Linked DNA regions of Struthio camelus. The protein of the gene in region 2 purifies or fractionates together with the protein of the main gene of each other region. This does not show direct contact. Links are inferred from orthologs where the notes say so. Each region holds a gene or a part of one and is shown on either strand. Other genes may lie near its edges.

The links. Proteins that work in one complex are often made in the same cells at the same time.
Region 1: the proteins of POLR2B (region 2) and MED19 purify together in Homo sapiens (affinity purification with mass spectrometry; 4 studies listed by BioGRID and IntAct, with this or other methods). This does not show direct contact. The link is inferred for Struthio camelus from reciprocal best matches to the Homo sapiens genes POLR2B and MED19.

The regions. Positions count from the first base shown.
Region 1 is NC_090946.1:7,469,469-7,476,588, forward strand, and holds MED19 (mediator of RNA polymerase II transcription subunit 19), read left to right. Parts: upstream 1-3,911; 5' UTR 3,912-3,930; coding exon 3,931-4,129; intron 4,130-4,470; coding exon 4,471-4,727; intron 4,728-4,836; coding exon 4,837-4,933; intron 4,934-5,021; coding exon 5,022-5,116; intron 5,117-5,343; coding exon 5,344-5,412; 3' UTR 5,413-6,429; downstream 6,430-7,120. Other genes in the region: TMX2 (thioredoxin-related transmembrane protein 2), read right to left, coding at 1,369-1,515, 1,709-1,838, 1,964-2,029, 2,109-2,215, 2,313-2,389, 2,654-2,767, 2,945-3,005, 3,404-3,742. UniProt on the Homo sapiens protein: Component of the Mediator complex, a coactivator involved in the regulated transcription of nearly all RNA polymerase II-dependent genes.
Region 2 is NC_090945.1:3,512,627-3,520,733, forward strand, and holds the start of POLR2B (DNA-directed RNA polymerase II subunit RPB2), read left to right. Parts: upstream 1-5,007; 5' UTR 5,008-5,212; coding exon 5,213-5,231; intron 5,232-5,655; coding exon 5,656-5,728; intron 5,729-7,299; coding exon 7,300-7,450; intron 7,451-8,107. Other genes in the region: NOA1 (nitric oxide-associated protein 1), read right to left, coding at 1,457-1,653, 2,768-2,932, 3,931-4,870. UniProt on the Homo sapiens protein: Catalytic core component of RNA polymerase II (Pol II), a DNA-dependent RNA polymerase which synthesizes mRNA precursors and many functional non-coding RNAs using the four ribonucleoside triphosphates as substrates.

The sequences.
Region 1 (7,120 bases), on a different chromosome or scaffold from region 2:
CAGCCCCCCTCCCCTCGCGCAGCAGCCCCCATCCAGCACACCCCCCTCGCCCAGCAGCCCCCATCCAGCACACCCCCCTCGCCCAGCAGCCCCCCCACCCAGCAGCCCCCCTCCCCTCGCCCAGCAGCCCCCATCCAGCACACCCCCCCCACCCAGCAGCCCCCCTCCCCTCGCGCAGCAGCCCCCATCCAGCACACCCCCCTCGCGCAGCAGCCCCCATCCAGCCCCCCTCCCCTCGCCCAGCAGCCCCCATCCAGCAGCCCCCCTCCCCTCGCCCCGCACCCCCCCCCCGCCCAGCAGCCCCGGCGGCCTGGGCGCAGCGCTCACCAGTGCTCGATGACCACGCGGGGGCCGCTCCCCCCGGGGCCGCCCCGGACCCGCTTCTGCGGCGCATCCGCTTCCTCCTCTGCCCGGACCTCGGTCGCCTCCGGGGCGCCGCGCTTCTTGCGCCGGGGAGCCATGCTGGGGAGAGCCGGGGCGGGCTGAGCGCCGGGGGGGCCCCGCCGGGCGGATAGCAAGGGAGGAGGAGCCCCGGGAGCGGGCCGCGGCTGGGGGGGGGGGGGGGGGCGAGGTTCCCCCCCACCCGAGGAAGGCCGGGGACCCCCCGGGGGCGGGGAGGGGAGAGCCGCGGAGCCGCCGCTACCTGCCGCGCTGCTCTGCGCCGCGCCGAGCCGGGCCGGGCACGTGGCGGGGCGCGGGGAACCGCTGCGGGCTGAGCCACCGGCACCGCCGCCGGCGGGGGGAACACGGGGCAGAGCGGCGCGGCGCAGCCCGCCGGTGCGAGCGGGCCGCCGCGGCCCCCCCCGCCGCACGGCGGCCGGACACTCCGTCACCGCTCGCCCGCTTCACCGCCCGCGGGCACCCCGGGGCGAGGGGGGGAATTTGGGGGGGGGTTGGAGCAACCCCCCCCCATGGGGCACAGTGGTTCCGCCCGCTCCCCCCGCCCCCTTCCCGCGGTTATGTAGCCAGCGCGGAAGGCGCAGCCAATCACGACGCGGCAGCCGCGGCGTGGCCAAGCCCCTCAGCGCCCACGTGATTTCCCCCCCCCCCCACGCACACCGGGGAGCGGTCCCCTCCCGCCGCCGCCGCCGCCGCCGCCGCCGCCGCCGCCGCCGCCGCGCAGCACAGGGACACGGCGGGGCGCTGCGGGCGTTTATTGACAGCCATGAGGATGAGCGTTCACCGGTGCGGGGCGGCTCTGCCCCGCCGCCTCCCAGCCCCCGCGGGCACGGGGCCGGGGCGCCTCGTACCGGGCCCCACACCCCACTGCACCGGGCGGCCGCGGTGACCCCCTGGGTGGCGCGGGGTGCAGGTCCCTCCTGCAACTTGGGGGGTGAGGGGGGGGGGCAACAGCAGCGTTGTCAGCTTCTACTTGTCCTTCTTGGTCTCCCCGTTGGCCAGGCCGGCGGCCGCCTGCGCCTCGGGCGCCTCCTCGGGCCCCTCATCCCGCGGCTTCGACTGCTTCTTGGCTTTGTGGTAGAGCTCGTTGAGGTTGAACTCCCTGATCACGTTCTCCTGCAGCCCAGATGGGCCGGGTGTCAGCACCCGCCAGCATCTCCCACACCTTCCTCCCCCCCCCCCCCCCCCCACAGCCCCGAGTGCCCTTCCCGCAGTGCTGGGAGCCACCAGCCACCTCCGGGGCCGGGTGCTGAACCGCGTCGTGCCCCAGAGGCTGGAGGACGCCAAGGGCTGGAAGGTCTCCACCCACCTCTGAGAAGGTCCAGGACACGGCTCGACCTTTCTTATCGATCTGTGGGCGACGCATGGTCTCCGTCCCGCCCTGGAAGAGGATGAGGGTGGGCAGCTGCTTGGTGAGGGGCGAGGTGCTGACTTTATACCTGCGGGAGGCGGACGGTGAGCCTGCGGGAGCTGCAGGGGCCCGGGGGCCCCCCAGACGTTCCCCCTTCTGCCCGGATAGGGGCTCTGCTGATGGGGGCCGTCCCCTTCCCCCGTCCCCGCAGACCTGGTGCTGACGTCCGTGTACCGGCCCACATCCACCTTCCCGAAGTGCAGCCCCGAGCAGTTGTACCTGGCGGAGAGACGCAGCTGAGAGCGCCGAGCATGACTGTGTCTCCCCCCCGCCCCAAACCCTGGTGGGCGCCGCTCACTTGAGAGAGAGGTCGGCGAAGATGGGGGCGAAGGACTGGCACTCGCTGGACCAGTTGGCGAAGAACTCGATGATCCAGGTCACCCGCTTGTCTCGTTCCAGCTCCTCCTGCCGCACGGGGTCACGGCTTGGCGGGGCGCGGCGGGGCGCAGCGCCCCCTCCGGCGCCGCCGTGCCCCGGCCCGGCCCGCAGAGGACATACTCACGTCTATGGTCTTGTCGTTGAAATACTTGATGTACTCGGGACCCATGTAGAGGGGCGGCTTGCAGGTCATCAGGAACACTGTAACGACAGCGCCCGTGAACCCGCTGCCTGGACGGGCCTGTTCCCGCAGGGAAGAGGCCCTTACCCTCACCCACACACCCGTTGCCCCCCGCCCCGAAAGCGGCCAAGAGAGCCAGGCTCGGTTCAGGATGAGGTTCCTCTTTCCCCGGACTACCCCTCTGGGCCTGTACGGAGGAGCGCTATGGACACCCTGTGCTCGGGGCAAGCGGAGCCGGGGGGCACCGCTGCGGCCCCTGGTGCCCCCATCCCCGCGGGTCTCACCTATGCACAGCGTGAGGTAGAGCAGGCCCATGCGGATGTCGAGACGGAAGAAGAGGATGGCGTTGGCCACTTTGCTGAACATGAAGATGTTGCCGATGTGCTGCTCCACAGTGACTGGGGGAGAGGGGTGAGAGCCAGGGCCAGATTCCCCCATCCCCTCTCAGCCGCCACTCCCCGAACTCCCCCCCTTCCTCTGGCTCCTACTCCATCCAGCTCTGCAGGGGATGGTCCACAAGCAGGCCCTGCCCCGCAGCCCCCCGCGCCCACCCAACAACGCAGGCCCCGACTCACTGGAGCGGCGGTTCTTCATCATCACGATGGCACTGAGGAACATGAGGATCTCCACCTCCCGCTGGGCACAGGAGAGAGGAGGTGAGCAGGAGGCACCCACCAGACCCTGCGGCCCTACCGCCCGCCCAGAGCCAGGGCGCTCCCAGCCCAGCCTGCCACAGGGACCTGGCGGCTGTGCCCCCCGCCACCGCTGCTCCCCCGTGCCATCCCTCAGCTCCTCTCCCTCCCGAGCACCGAGAGGCGGCCTGCGAGCACAGCCAGGAAAGGGGGCCGCCGTCCCCGAGGCGCTCAGGGAGCCCCCAAGCGGCGGGCCGGGGCTGGCAGAGCACTGCCGGCGGGCGCCAGGCCCGGCCCTCCCTCGGCAGCGCCGGGGAGCCGCGAGGAGAGCGGGCCCGGGGGCAGGAAGGACGTCGGGGACAGGCGGGACACGGGGCTCGGGCGGGCGGCAGCCCGCCTCACCCAGTCAAAGTCGCAGGGGTTGCCGTCCTCCCGCTGCGAGGGCAGGCCGCGGCAGAGCGGCGGCAGCTTGCGGACGAGCAGGAAGGCGGTGGCGAGCAGCGCCGAGAGCGGGTAGTAGGGCCGCGCCAGCCAGCGGCACAGCGCCGGCATCGAGTACAGCAGCGCCAGCAGCGGCGCCACCACCGCCATCTTCCCTCCGCTCGCCGCCGAGCTCTGCCGGCCACCGTACGGCCGGAGCGGGGCTCTTCTTATTGGGCCGGCCTCCTGCTCGTCAGCGGTGGGCGGGGCTCCTCCGCCGCTGGCCAATGGCGCGGCCCCGCTGCCAAGCTCTTCCGACATCCAGCCGCAGAAGGCGGGGAGGCGGCCAATCAGGATACTCGGTCCGCGCCGCACGTAGCAACGGGGGGGAAGGGGCGGGCCGTAGGCAGCGTTCAACCAATCTAAGCCGAGTGCCTGGGGCGCGGCTCTCCCCCCATAGGGTGGGGCGGTGCGGCCAGCCCGCCCCCGGCGCGGGGCACGCTGGGAGCATGGAGAATTTCTCGGCGCTCTTCGGCGGGGCCGAGCCGCCGCCCGCCGCCGCCGCCGCCGCGCTGGGCTTCGGACCGGCCAAGGCGGCGGGGCCCGGGGCCGGGCCGCCCCCCGCCGCCGCCGCGCCGCCGCCCGGCGAGGACGCGGCCCGCAAGGCCGCCGCCGCCGGCCCCTTCTACCTGCTGCGGGAGCTGCCAGGTACGGGGCGGGGCTCGCGGGGCGCTCCGCCAATCAACGCGCGGGAGGCGGGCGCCGCCCGCGATAGGCGGGGCGCTCCGCCAATTGGCCGCGCGGAAGCGGCACCGGGCTTCCGGAGGGGGGTAACGGACAGCGCGGTGGGCCAATAAGGTGCGGGGGGGGGAGAGGGAGAACGAGGCGCAAACTGACAGCCCGGCCGGCTAATGGGATGCAAGAGGAGGGGCGGGGCTGAGCGGCGCACCACCCAATAGGGGAAGGGCGCGGGACTGGGGCCTCGCAGAGGTATCCCATAGTGCTTTGCCCTGGCTCCCGCCAACATGGACGGCGGTGGGGGCGGGCAGGCACCACGGAGCTGACGGGCAGCACCAACCTCATCACGCACTACAACCTGGAGCACGCCTACAACAAGTTCTGCGGCAAGAAGGTGAAGGAGAAACTCAGCAACTTCCTCCCCGACCTGCCGGGCATGATCGACCTGCCCGGCTCCCACGACAACAGCAGCCTGCGCTCCCTCATCGAGAAGCCCCCCATCTGCGGCAGCTCCTTCACCCCCCTCACCGGCACCATGCTCACCGGCTTCCGCCTCCACGCCGGCCCGGTGAGCCCCGGCGCTGCCAGGCCCAGAGGCAGCGCGGAGGGAGGGAGGGAGGGAGGCCTGGCGCGGGCTGACGGGCCCCCTCGCCCTCTCTGTCTCTCTCTCTGGGCAGCTGCCGGAGCAGTGCCGGCTCATGCACATCCAGCCGCCCAAGAAGAAGAACAAGCACAAGCACAAGCAGAGCCGCACCCAGGATCCCGTCCCCCCGGGTAAGGGACGCGCCTGGCTCCCGCAGCACCCCTCACCACGAGAAGCCCGCTGGGCACCCCACTGACCCAGCTCTCTCCCTTCCTTCAGAAACCCCCTCGGACTCTGACCACAAGAAGAAAAAGAAGAAAAAAGAGGAGGATCCTGAGCGGAAGAGGAAGAAGAAGGAAAAGAAGAAAAAGAAGGTAGGTGGGGAGAGCCAGGCTCTCACCCACGGCCCCTGTGGGCCCAGGCCCTCCCCGCGCGCCCCCCCAGGAGCTGCCTGGCCCCGGGAGCTGCCGAGCAGCCCTTCCCCGGGCCGCTGATCAGCAGGAGGTTGGAGGGGGCTGAGTGACGCTGGGAGGGCGCCGGTGGCGGGCGGGCTCCGCTCGGGGCTCACGGGGACGCGTGTGCCTCTGTCCCTCCTTGCCAGAACCGGCACAGCCCGGAGCACCCGGGCGTGGGCAGCTCCCAGGCCAGCAGCAGCAGCAGCCTGCGGTGAGGCGTCCGCTCCGTGGATCTCCCAGCCGACGGGAACGGCCTCAGCTCACCCGAGACGGACTCGTCCCTCCTGCCGGGCTCGGTGGGGGCACTCGGGCTGGCCTGTCCCCCCGGCGGAGAGGACGTCCCCAAAGCACCCACGTGCGCTTCCTGCGGAGGGCAGGAGTCACGGACTCCGCTGGAACCGCTGTGGGGAGTTGCTGCCTGTGGCCTTTTATACCAAAACAACGCGGTGCATCGGGCTCTCTTTTTTTATTCACTTTTTAATTAAAAAGGCTCTGCTCCGAGGAGGGGCTGGTGACTGTGGCTGCTGCCACCGTCGGCCCTTGTGCCAGGGCGCGGAGCGGACACGTGGGGCGTGAGTGAGCGGTGCTGCCTTAGGGAGCAGGCGTGGGGGGGAAACTGAGGCAGAAGGGGGAGGGGGGAGCCCGGGGCAGGATCTGACTGCCGGGAAAGAGGGGTCCTACCTTGGCTGCGGCTGCTCAGCTGAATACAGAACCCCTCCACTCCGCTGAGCGGCGCTTCGCTGAGGACAGCGGCGACCCCGGCGAGGTGCCGAGGCCGGCAGCGAGCCCCAGGGCAGGTGTCGCAGCGCTGGAAGCGCCGGCCAGCTGCGACAGCGGCCGAGGAGCGGCCGTAGGGCGTCCCTTCGGTCCCCGAAGCGGCTCAGGCTCCTGCGCGACTGTGCCCTGGAAGCCGCTTACGTCGGACACCCGAGAAGCCCGACTCGGCCCCTTGACAAAACGCTGACCTGTGGCGGGAGCGGAGTTTGCCCACGGGCGCCCGTCCTCAAATCGGGGTAATCCCTACGGTGAGGGCGGCCCGGCCCGGAGGCACTACACCTTAGCGCTGCTGGGCTTGGGGGCCCCTCGCTGCTCTGCTGCGGCCCAGCTTTCTCTCCCCCTTGCGCGGTGGGAGGGAAAGGTGAGCCGCAGGAGGGGCCCCTCTATCCCTGGATGCTAAACAAAGCACACGCGTGGCTCCTGCGATGGCTCATTAAATCTCCTTTTATTCCTCATTTTAAAATGGCTAATTAAAAAAAAAAAAAAATCCAATGGCTCTGCAGAGGCCACAGGAGACATATTGCCGTAGAGAAAGAGTCGAGTAGTGCCTAAAGTTTCACTGCACCTGCACAAGTTGGGTAGCCCTTTGGGGGGGGGGGGAGGTGATGGGGGAGCGCTGGACTCCTCGGCTGCTTTTTTTTGGCATGGGATGAGAAAAATATTGCTTTACGGGGCTGTGCCCCGCTGGCCTTCCTCTTTCCCCGAACGGAAATTAAAAACAACCGTGTGACAGCGAGGAAAACTCTTAACGGACCTGACAAAACAAGACTAAAAGGAAAAAAAAAAAACCTGGGGAAACATTTAAAAAAAAAAAAAACAGCTAAAACCATGAGCGCGGCCAGGCTGGTGAGCACAAGGGTTTCTGTCCAGGGCCCTGGCCTCTGCGCGAGCCTGGCGCCCCGCGGGCCTGCCCGGCGCGTGAGCTCACCCTTCGCTTGGGAGAGCAGCGCAGTAGGCAGCAGCCTCAGCCCGTCCTCATCCTCCTCCTCCTCCCCAGGTGGGAGAGGAGCTCGAGCACCTGAGGCTTAAAAAGGAAAGAAAAAGAGGATAGCCCTCACCTAAAAGCACCTCGGCATCAGGCCAGCGCGGCCTTCGCCCTTCGCGGCAACCCCGGCGCGGCGCGGCGCGGCCCGCCCGCGGCCCTCC
Region 2 (8,107 bases):
GGCATTAAACGACTGAGCTACAAGGGTTGTGGTGCAGCCAGAAGCACAAATGCTTTTCCTACGACGGTGAGCAAGTGATCTTTAGTTTGAAAGCCATGGCAGCCTTTAGCATGGATTCTGGAACGCCAGGAGGCTTTGCTCTGCCAGCTGCAGGTTTTCTGATGTGTTTGGCAATGCTTAAAACCCAAATTTGAGAGTTACCAGTAACCCTTTGCTACACTTTCCAGAAGTTTGGCTTTGTAAGAAGGCATGAGGAAGCAGCTAAAAACGAACCTCTAAAGAACACAGACAAATATGTTAACAGCTGCTTTCCCTCCCTCTTCTTCCAAAATACGAAAAACTACCCCCACCCCCAACTGGAAGTCTACCCCGCCAAAATTTGGCGCACAGATCATCCTGCCTGTCCTCTAGCCAAAGTGAACACTGACTGCAGAAACAAAATTTGACCTGAAACTTGGCATATATTCCACCTAATCTCTCCGAAGACACAGCAAGGATAATCAGAATCAGAAATGGCATCATGAATTTCCTGGATGCAGGAAAACCCACTCATTTCCCACTTATTCAACTCCAAAATAACATGCCCAACCTCTAGTTACCAAACCAAGGCTCCAAGCCCCTGATGTCTTTTATACCAGATGCTTAGCAGCCAGCAGAGAGCGAAGGGCCACGGCAAAGTGGGTTGCGATAGGACACACACGTCCATCAGAAAACTGGTAGTAGTGCTTGTAAAAGCAGCATTGGTACTTGAGCTATGCAGCCTCAGTATGTTTCTTGCACTTCATTCCCTTTGGAACTTTTCTACCTCCTTGTACTTTTTATCTTCCCAAAAAGATGACCCTCAGCTCTGCACAGACACCAAAACAATCAAAACATAGCTTTTTCAGACACGTGCAATACAGCAGCACCGGCTTCAGAGCTGCTGCTCTAGTGAAACAGAGAGTCACGCCTGACATACTGGGGCTATTAATGGGAAGACTGCAAATCCGCTTGGCTTCAGGAAGATACTTCAGGTCTTTTTCAAAGATTTGGTCCAGTCACAAAATACTAGCTATTCTCCTAACGCTCCGTATGTGGTAACTTCACCTTGTTCAGTAGGCTGGCAGAGCTAAGACAGTGCAAGCTTCCTTGGGCAATGCTGGTATAAACTTGCTTATAACACTGTTATTCACTTCTCTTCATTTAACTGTTTACAAGTTTGCCTGTATTGTTCCTTTGCGAAGATCACAGTGTACGTCATTCAGGAATGCAATAGTGTTACATAACGCACCCTTCCCAGGTAAAACAAACAAACAAGGAAAAACAAGAAACCCCCTACCTTTTAACACGTTCACCCAAACTGAGAGACTCCTAAGCCTAGGAGCAGAGCAGAAATACTTTCCCATGTGCACAACTAAGGCAGGACAGTCCTCCTAATCTCTTGACCTCCTGTGACACAGCACCACAGAGTACCTACGCAGTTTTCCTTTACAATCCCTGGTGTGTCAAAACACCAGCGAGCATCCTTCACTTCGTTGTACGTGAACTCTTCCTTTATCTTGTGCTTCTGAGGGGAATAGCCGGGATCTTCGTCTACGCTGTACGAGAGCATGTCGGGGTCAAAGTCAACCACAGGGCTAGGCTTCTGCTGTTGGAACGTTCTTCCCACTCTTCCTGGATTAAACCAAAAAGTTTCCGGGTAATTAATTTATTAACTTGCATTTCCTTCAGTCAGATATCTGTCCCTTCCCTTCCTTACCTACCTGAAAAGAGGTGCACCACAGGTAACCTAACAGTGACAAAGATGATATGCAGCCAGAAACGTGGCTGCTCAAGAGCCAGCAGGGCTAATGAACTCCTTCTATATTTATTGCCTAACCCTCCTCGAGCCCAAATCCTTCGCAGTGACCAGATCACAAATGCCCCGTTATTTAACTGTAAAGGAGACGGCCTTTTTGTTGTTGTTTGTTGTTGACTGCCTTTTTTTTTTTAGGGCCTTCAGCTTTCAAACACAGAATTATTCAGATGCGCACAAACTACGATACAGTGCAACAAGGTCCTTTTTCCATTTTAGAGACAGTGAATTACTCCTCTTATGTCTTATGACATAGGTGTCCAGACACAGGTCATACCCCCATTTAAACACAAACGACTGTGTTTTATCTTTTGCTCTGGATATAGCGCAATGAAGGATGATCCAAACCACAACTTCATGACTGACTGCAGATTTCACAGTCATTTCAAGCTCCTGAAGTCAAAGCCATCTCTTGGCAACCCCCTCTTCAGGCTACATGCTAAACTGATGTACAACCACTGTGGCCTACTACCCAAACGTCCTCATTAAAATTCAACTTCCTTGTCTTCTTCAGGAATGAAAGAGGTGTGCTCTATCGCAGCATCCTTGTAATTCATTAAGACATCTGAACTGATGGGAGGTGCGCTGCACAGGGGAAACTTCTGCCATGTGACTACTGTGACAGCTGAAAAATAAGTATGCAAAAGAAATGCTAACCGCACTACTTTGGAAGGAGCTAGAGCTCTTGCAAGCATTACTTGGGATAAAAACTGGTCGGAATAACTTTAATGCCTACTTGCAAGTTTTTTATTGTCACTGTAGCTAGCATGTTCTTCCCTTAAGTAAGTGAAGATGAGTTGCTTCAGGGTGGAAGAAATTACTCATCAATAGCTGGACTTTATAGCAAATTAAGGAGTTAACAGTCCATCCTGTAGCACGCTATTTTCATCAGGACAGAAAGGCGATAGATACCTTTTGTCTGACAATACTCACCCACTAAGTAACCCTCCTTTTTAAGATGATTAAGGTACTTTTTTTCTTCATTACTTAGCTGGTCTTCTGTTTTTTCTGCCTCTGCTTTCAGTCGCTCCTGCCTTCGAAATATCCTGTCACACGTAGGGTTAATAATTGGAAATTTTAGCAGATTGAGCGTGGTTCCTGGAAAACAAACACACACACACTACATTTGGGTCTATTTAAGCTCTTTAACAAGAACAAAAAAACTGCTCCTCCCACTTTTGGCTGCAAACCAGTGACGCGAAGTTGGAAGGGGAATTAAGCATCAAGCAAACGGCTATAACCCGCCAGCCTCCTTTGGCAGGGTGGCTGCAATGAAGCGCCTGTCCCGCTCTCACCAATGTTTTGGTAAAAGGGCCTCAAGGTGGAGCGCTGAACGCAACCAGCAACTCACAGTTACAGCCACGTATACTCCCGCTCGCTAAAACCAGGCGAACGCTGGTATAGTCACAGGTCCTCAGGAGTCCTATGGTCCTCAGGAGAGCTGCTGTGCTGCAAGTCGGACTTCTGTGCATCAAAGCCTCACAGCACTGAGGCCAACTCTTGGGGACGTTAAGGCACCAGAATGAGGTCAGCGGCATCGGGGCCAATACCGATACAGCAGTTATAAACCTCGTCCTACCGTGACAGGCAGGAAGCGCACGTTGGCTCACCCCACCATGCCCTGACACCGCTGACCCTTTGACAGCGGGACCAAACACTGAGCCTTCTCTCAGCAGAGCGGTCGGCACCTCGCGCCTCTCTAACGCGGCGTTTAGATCGGTTCAACGCACCCTAGCTACGTCCTGCTCGCAAGGCAGCTTGGCTTTGCATATGACTACTTTACGGGTGCTCACCAGCCCCCCTCCCAGCTGCCCTTTAGCCCGGAGGGCATCCCCGATTCACAGGGAGATGGCAAGGCATGCAGATCAGGGAGGACCAGATCGCCTGCTTCCCAGAGCGTGTGCGAGTCAGCCCCCTCCGCGCTGTGACACGCGGCGGCGCCATGAGATGGGCAAACGCTTCACAGGGGGCTCGCACTGCCCCGGGGCGCCAGGCAGCGGGGCCACAGGCCGAGGCTGGGCCCAGCGAGCGAGCCTCCCGCCGGGGCTGGCTGTCCCCCACGTGCCCAGCAGGACCTCGGTCACAGCAGCCCTGACCTGGCCAGGGTGAGACGGTGGCACGGTCGACGACGTCGGGGGCGCGGGACTTGCAGAAGTCGGAGCGCAGCAGGGCATTGAAGAGCGTCGACTTGCCCGAGTTGGTGGCGCCCAGCAGGTAGACGTCGCCGGCGCCCCGCCAGGAGCGCTGCAGCCGGCTGACCAGCCCTTCGAGGCCGAAGCCCGTCTTGGCGCTCACCAGGCAGACGCCCACCAGCGGGGCCCCGCGCAGGCCCGCCTGGGCGCAGGCCGCCGCCACCCGCCGCCGCAGCCGCCCCAGGTGCCCGGGGCCGTCGCGGGGCAGCAGGTCCACCTTGTTACCCACCACCAGGACGCCGGCGGCGGGGGTGGCCGGGCTCAGCAGCGCCGGCAGCTCGGGCAGCAGCGGGTCGGGCAGCTCCAGCACGTCGAGGAGGTAGAGGAGGAGCGGGCCGCGGCCGTGGCGCGGCGGGCGGCGCAGCGCGGCGCTCACCACGAGGCGGTGCCGCTCCGGGGGCAGCGCCAACCGCAGCGCCCGGCCGTGGTGCGCCAGCAGCCAGCAGCGCTGGCACACGGCGGCGCGCAGCCCCGCCGCTCCGCCCGCTCCGCCCGCCAGGCTCCGGTACTTCTCCGCCGGCAGGAAGCCCGGCGCCGCGCCGTCGCGGCACTGCAGCTCGGCCCCGCAGCCCGAACAGCTCACGCCGCTCGGCGGCACCGACGGGTCGGGCAGCCCCGCCGCCGCCGCCGCCCTCGGAGCCCTCCGCTGCCGCCGCCGCTCCCCGCCCGGCTCCGCCTCCCGGTGGGGCGCCGCCGCCTCCCACCGCACCGGCTCCGGCTCGTACTCAGGGAAGACGAACTGCTCCTCCTCGCCGCTCGCCGCCGCCGCCCCCCGCCGCGGCACCGGCCGCCAGGCGCGAGCCCGGGCCAGCCCGCCCGTGAGGGCCCGGCCCAGGCGCTGCATGGCGCGGGCGAGCGCCGCCGCCGCCACCCGCCGGCGGCCACAGGCTCCGCGCGCTCCCACGCGGCTCCGCCCCGCCCGCCGTGCGGCGGGAAGAGGAAGGGCGTGGGCGCAGCAACCGCGCATGCGCCTTCCCCCGCGGTGCTTCCGACGGGGCGGGGCGGGGCGGGGGAAGGGAGCGGGCCACGGTTCGGCCCTGCGCGAGGCGGCGGTGACGCCTGCTAGGTGTGTGCGCGAGGCGCGCAGGCGCCTCCCCCTCCGTCGGCGGCTCGGTAGTGGTGGCCCGCGCTCTCTTCGCCTCTGTGTCGGCCGCCGCCGCCTGCGGCCTTCCCTACTGCCGCCGCCATGTACGACGCGGACGAAGGTGAGGGCGGGCGGCCGCTCCCGGCCTGAACCGTTATCCTCTTCGGCCGGCCCCGGCGGAGGGGCCAGGAGAGCCGTTGGGCTCGCCCACGGCCTACCAGGGAGGGTGGGAGCAGGAGAACCGTTGGGCTCGTCTACGGCTTACTTGGGGGCGGGGGGGGGGAAGAGCCGTTGGGCTCGGGTCGCGCACTGCCCGCTAGGGGGTGGGGGCGGGAGAGCCGTTGGGCTCGCGCGGAGTCCGCGTTTGGGGCTCGGTGCAGACGGGGGAGCTACCGGCGCCGGCGTGAGGGGCTTCCACAGTCTCCTGCGGCCATGGGCGCTGCCGGGGTGCCCCTCTGCCAGTCGTATGCCGGCCCCGCGTTAGTAGGCAAGTAGAGGTAACGTGGATATCGAAGTCTAACTTGCACGTTATGCTTCCTGGACAGATATGCAATATGATGAAGATGATGATGAAATCACTCCTGACTTGTGGCAAGAAGCATGCTGGATTGTTATTAGGTGACTTTCTAAAATTCACTGTTCTTTACGCTTTGGGTCTTAAAGGTAGTATCTAGTTTGCTAGCAACACGTGATGGAAATGCAAGAATTGTTTCTACTAAATAATATGTTTCGTTACTTTTTGAACAGAAGGGCTTTAAGCAGAAACAGCAAGGTTTTGACTGCTGGCCCTGTATATACACTGTTAGGGATTAAGAAGCCCTACTTACTCTCAGTTCAGCTAGGCTATCTGAACTGAAGTACGAAATTATTTTGATCCCAAATCACGCACATCATCTTGCCCGTTACTCTCGCAGTGCGTGCTGACATTAGGAGATCAATACTTAGCAGTTTGCCATATTAGTGTTTTATTAGTACTACATGAAGGCCCAGGCTCTGCAGCTTCTTGCGCCTCTGAGAGAGTGGAAGGCTGTGTGGAACTAGGCAAAAAGTGTTTCTCTTTGTGTCTTAGAGCAGCAGTTCCCAAACGGAAGGGCGTACCTGCAGCGCTAGACCTGTAGCCTCTCTGGGTAGAGAGTAGGGATGAGAAACCTCGGAGGCAGAAGGAGGTCCTTTCTCTTGTCTGGCAGCCTGGTGATGAGCGTTAAATTTATTCTGAATCAGGTGGGAGGGAACTGGGACAAATCCTTCAGCTGGGGCTAGAGCTCACTCCCAGTAAGGATTTAGGTTGCCCTTTCCTTCCCTTCCTCCTTCCTTTTGTGCAATGGCAGGCTATGCTGACAGGGTGCACTGTGGCAGCGGCACAATAGGCAAGGCTATGTTTCCGTTCTTGGAGAAGCCTGAAGTCACTGATAGGGAGGTAGTTGTTACAAGTTTTCTGCAGAGGTCTTGTAGGTGAAGGAGCAAAAGCTGGAGTAAGTAAGGGTTCCCTGGCTGGCTTCAGGAATGCAGGGTCGTGGGAGGAGAGGAGCTTGCTGGCAGGAGCTAATGCAGTGAACGTGTTTAGATCATCCCATTAGAAGCTAGGCTGCGAGCTTGGCATTCGGGCTTGGATAGCTACAATTGGAGTGTTTTGGTAGGTGAAACAAAGGTTAGACGGAATCCAGAAGCTGCTGGAAGGGGTGAAGCTGGAAATTTCTGTGTGGCTGGAACAGAGGTGATCTGAGCTAAGAAAAGTTCTGAGAACTGTTGTCTTGAATGAGGGGCCTACAATTGTATGCTCTCAGTTTACTGCAGCTTGGGAAATGATCTGCAGCAAAGTAATTTGTCATGTGCATTGTAGAAGATATTAGCTGAAGCTACCTTTACTGAGGTTTTAAGTCATCCTGTTTCACTTCTAATTTGAGATAAACTGTGCATACAGCCATGGCTTAACCAAGAAGGGGCAGCAAGTCTGTCACTTTGTCGTGTCTATGCCTTCAAATACTGAGAGAAAAAATTTAAGTTTTTAACAGTCCTGAGCAGCTGTGTTTGAAACTTGTGCCTCAAGAAAAGTCAATGCTTGTATTTTGATATTGTATTCCAGGACTCCTGAAGGTTTGATAATAAACAAGTCTTGAACTTGTCGATATGTGGAGTACGTGAGTTAACTTAAGAGCTCTTCTTGAATAATATACTTTTTTTTTTTTTAGCTCCTACTTTGATGAGAAAGGCCTAGTCAGGCAGCAGCTGGATTCTTTTGATGAGTTTATTCAGATGTCTGTGCAGAGAATTGTTGAAGATGCTCCACCAATTGATTTGCAAGCTGAAGCCCAGCATGCCACAGGAGAAGTGGAAGAGCCAGTAAGTGGAGACCCTGCAGAGCTATTTTGGTTTTGCAATGCAAAATGATTTTCCTTTATTTAGATGCGTTTTATTCCCTCCCCTCTCAAGAGTCAGAAATAAGTCAGAGGTCTGACACTGCTCCTGGAGTGAATGGGCAGACAGGTGAAATGTCTGGATTCTATGAGGTACACGCCCAAGTTTTCAAGTAGTCAAGCTTACTGCCGAGAAAAACATACAAGAGCATTGTTATCCGTGAATCCCGACTTTCCTCTCCTGTAGAGTTAGTGACTCTTTGAGTTGAGGAATGACCGATTGGCTGCTGTAGTTCATCCTGTCAATTACTGTGTGATACCACTCAAGACTGGGAGCAAGCATCACTGATAGGAATGTGGCAGAACAAGACAGCTAGCCAAAAACAAACCTTATTTTGATGGGATTTTGCATTTTCAATAACTTTATCATGGCAGGAGAAGATTATGGCTAAAATGTTCTCTGCTAGCTTTCTTCATCTAAAGTTAGGCCTGGGTTTTCGAAAGGTGCATTGCTTATCGTCTCCCATTAGCACCGTGTAACAAAGGAGAACAAATTGTCTAAGGTCTGTTCTGTGTGATGGCCCTTGACAAATTGTGTGTACCTTCTCTGTGGGCCACCGTGCCCTCATCTGTATACCCCTTA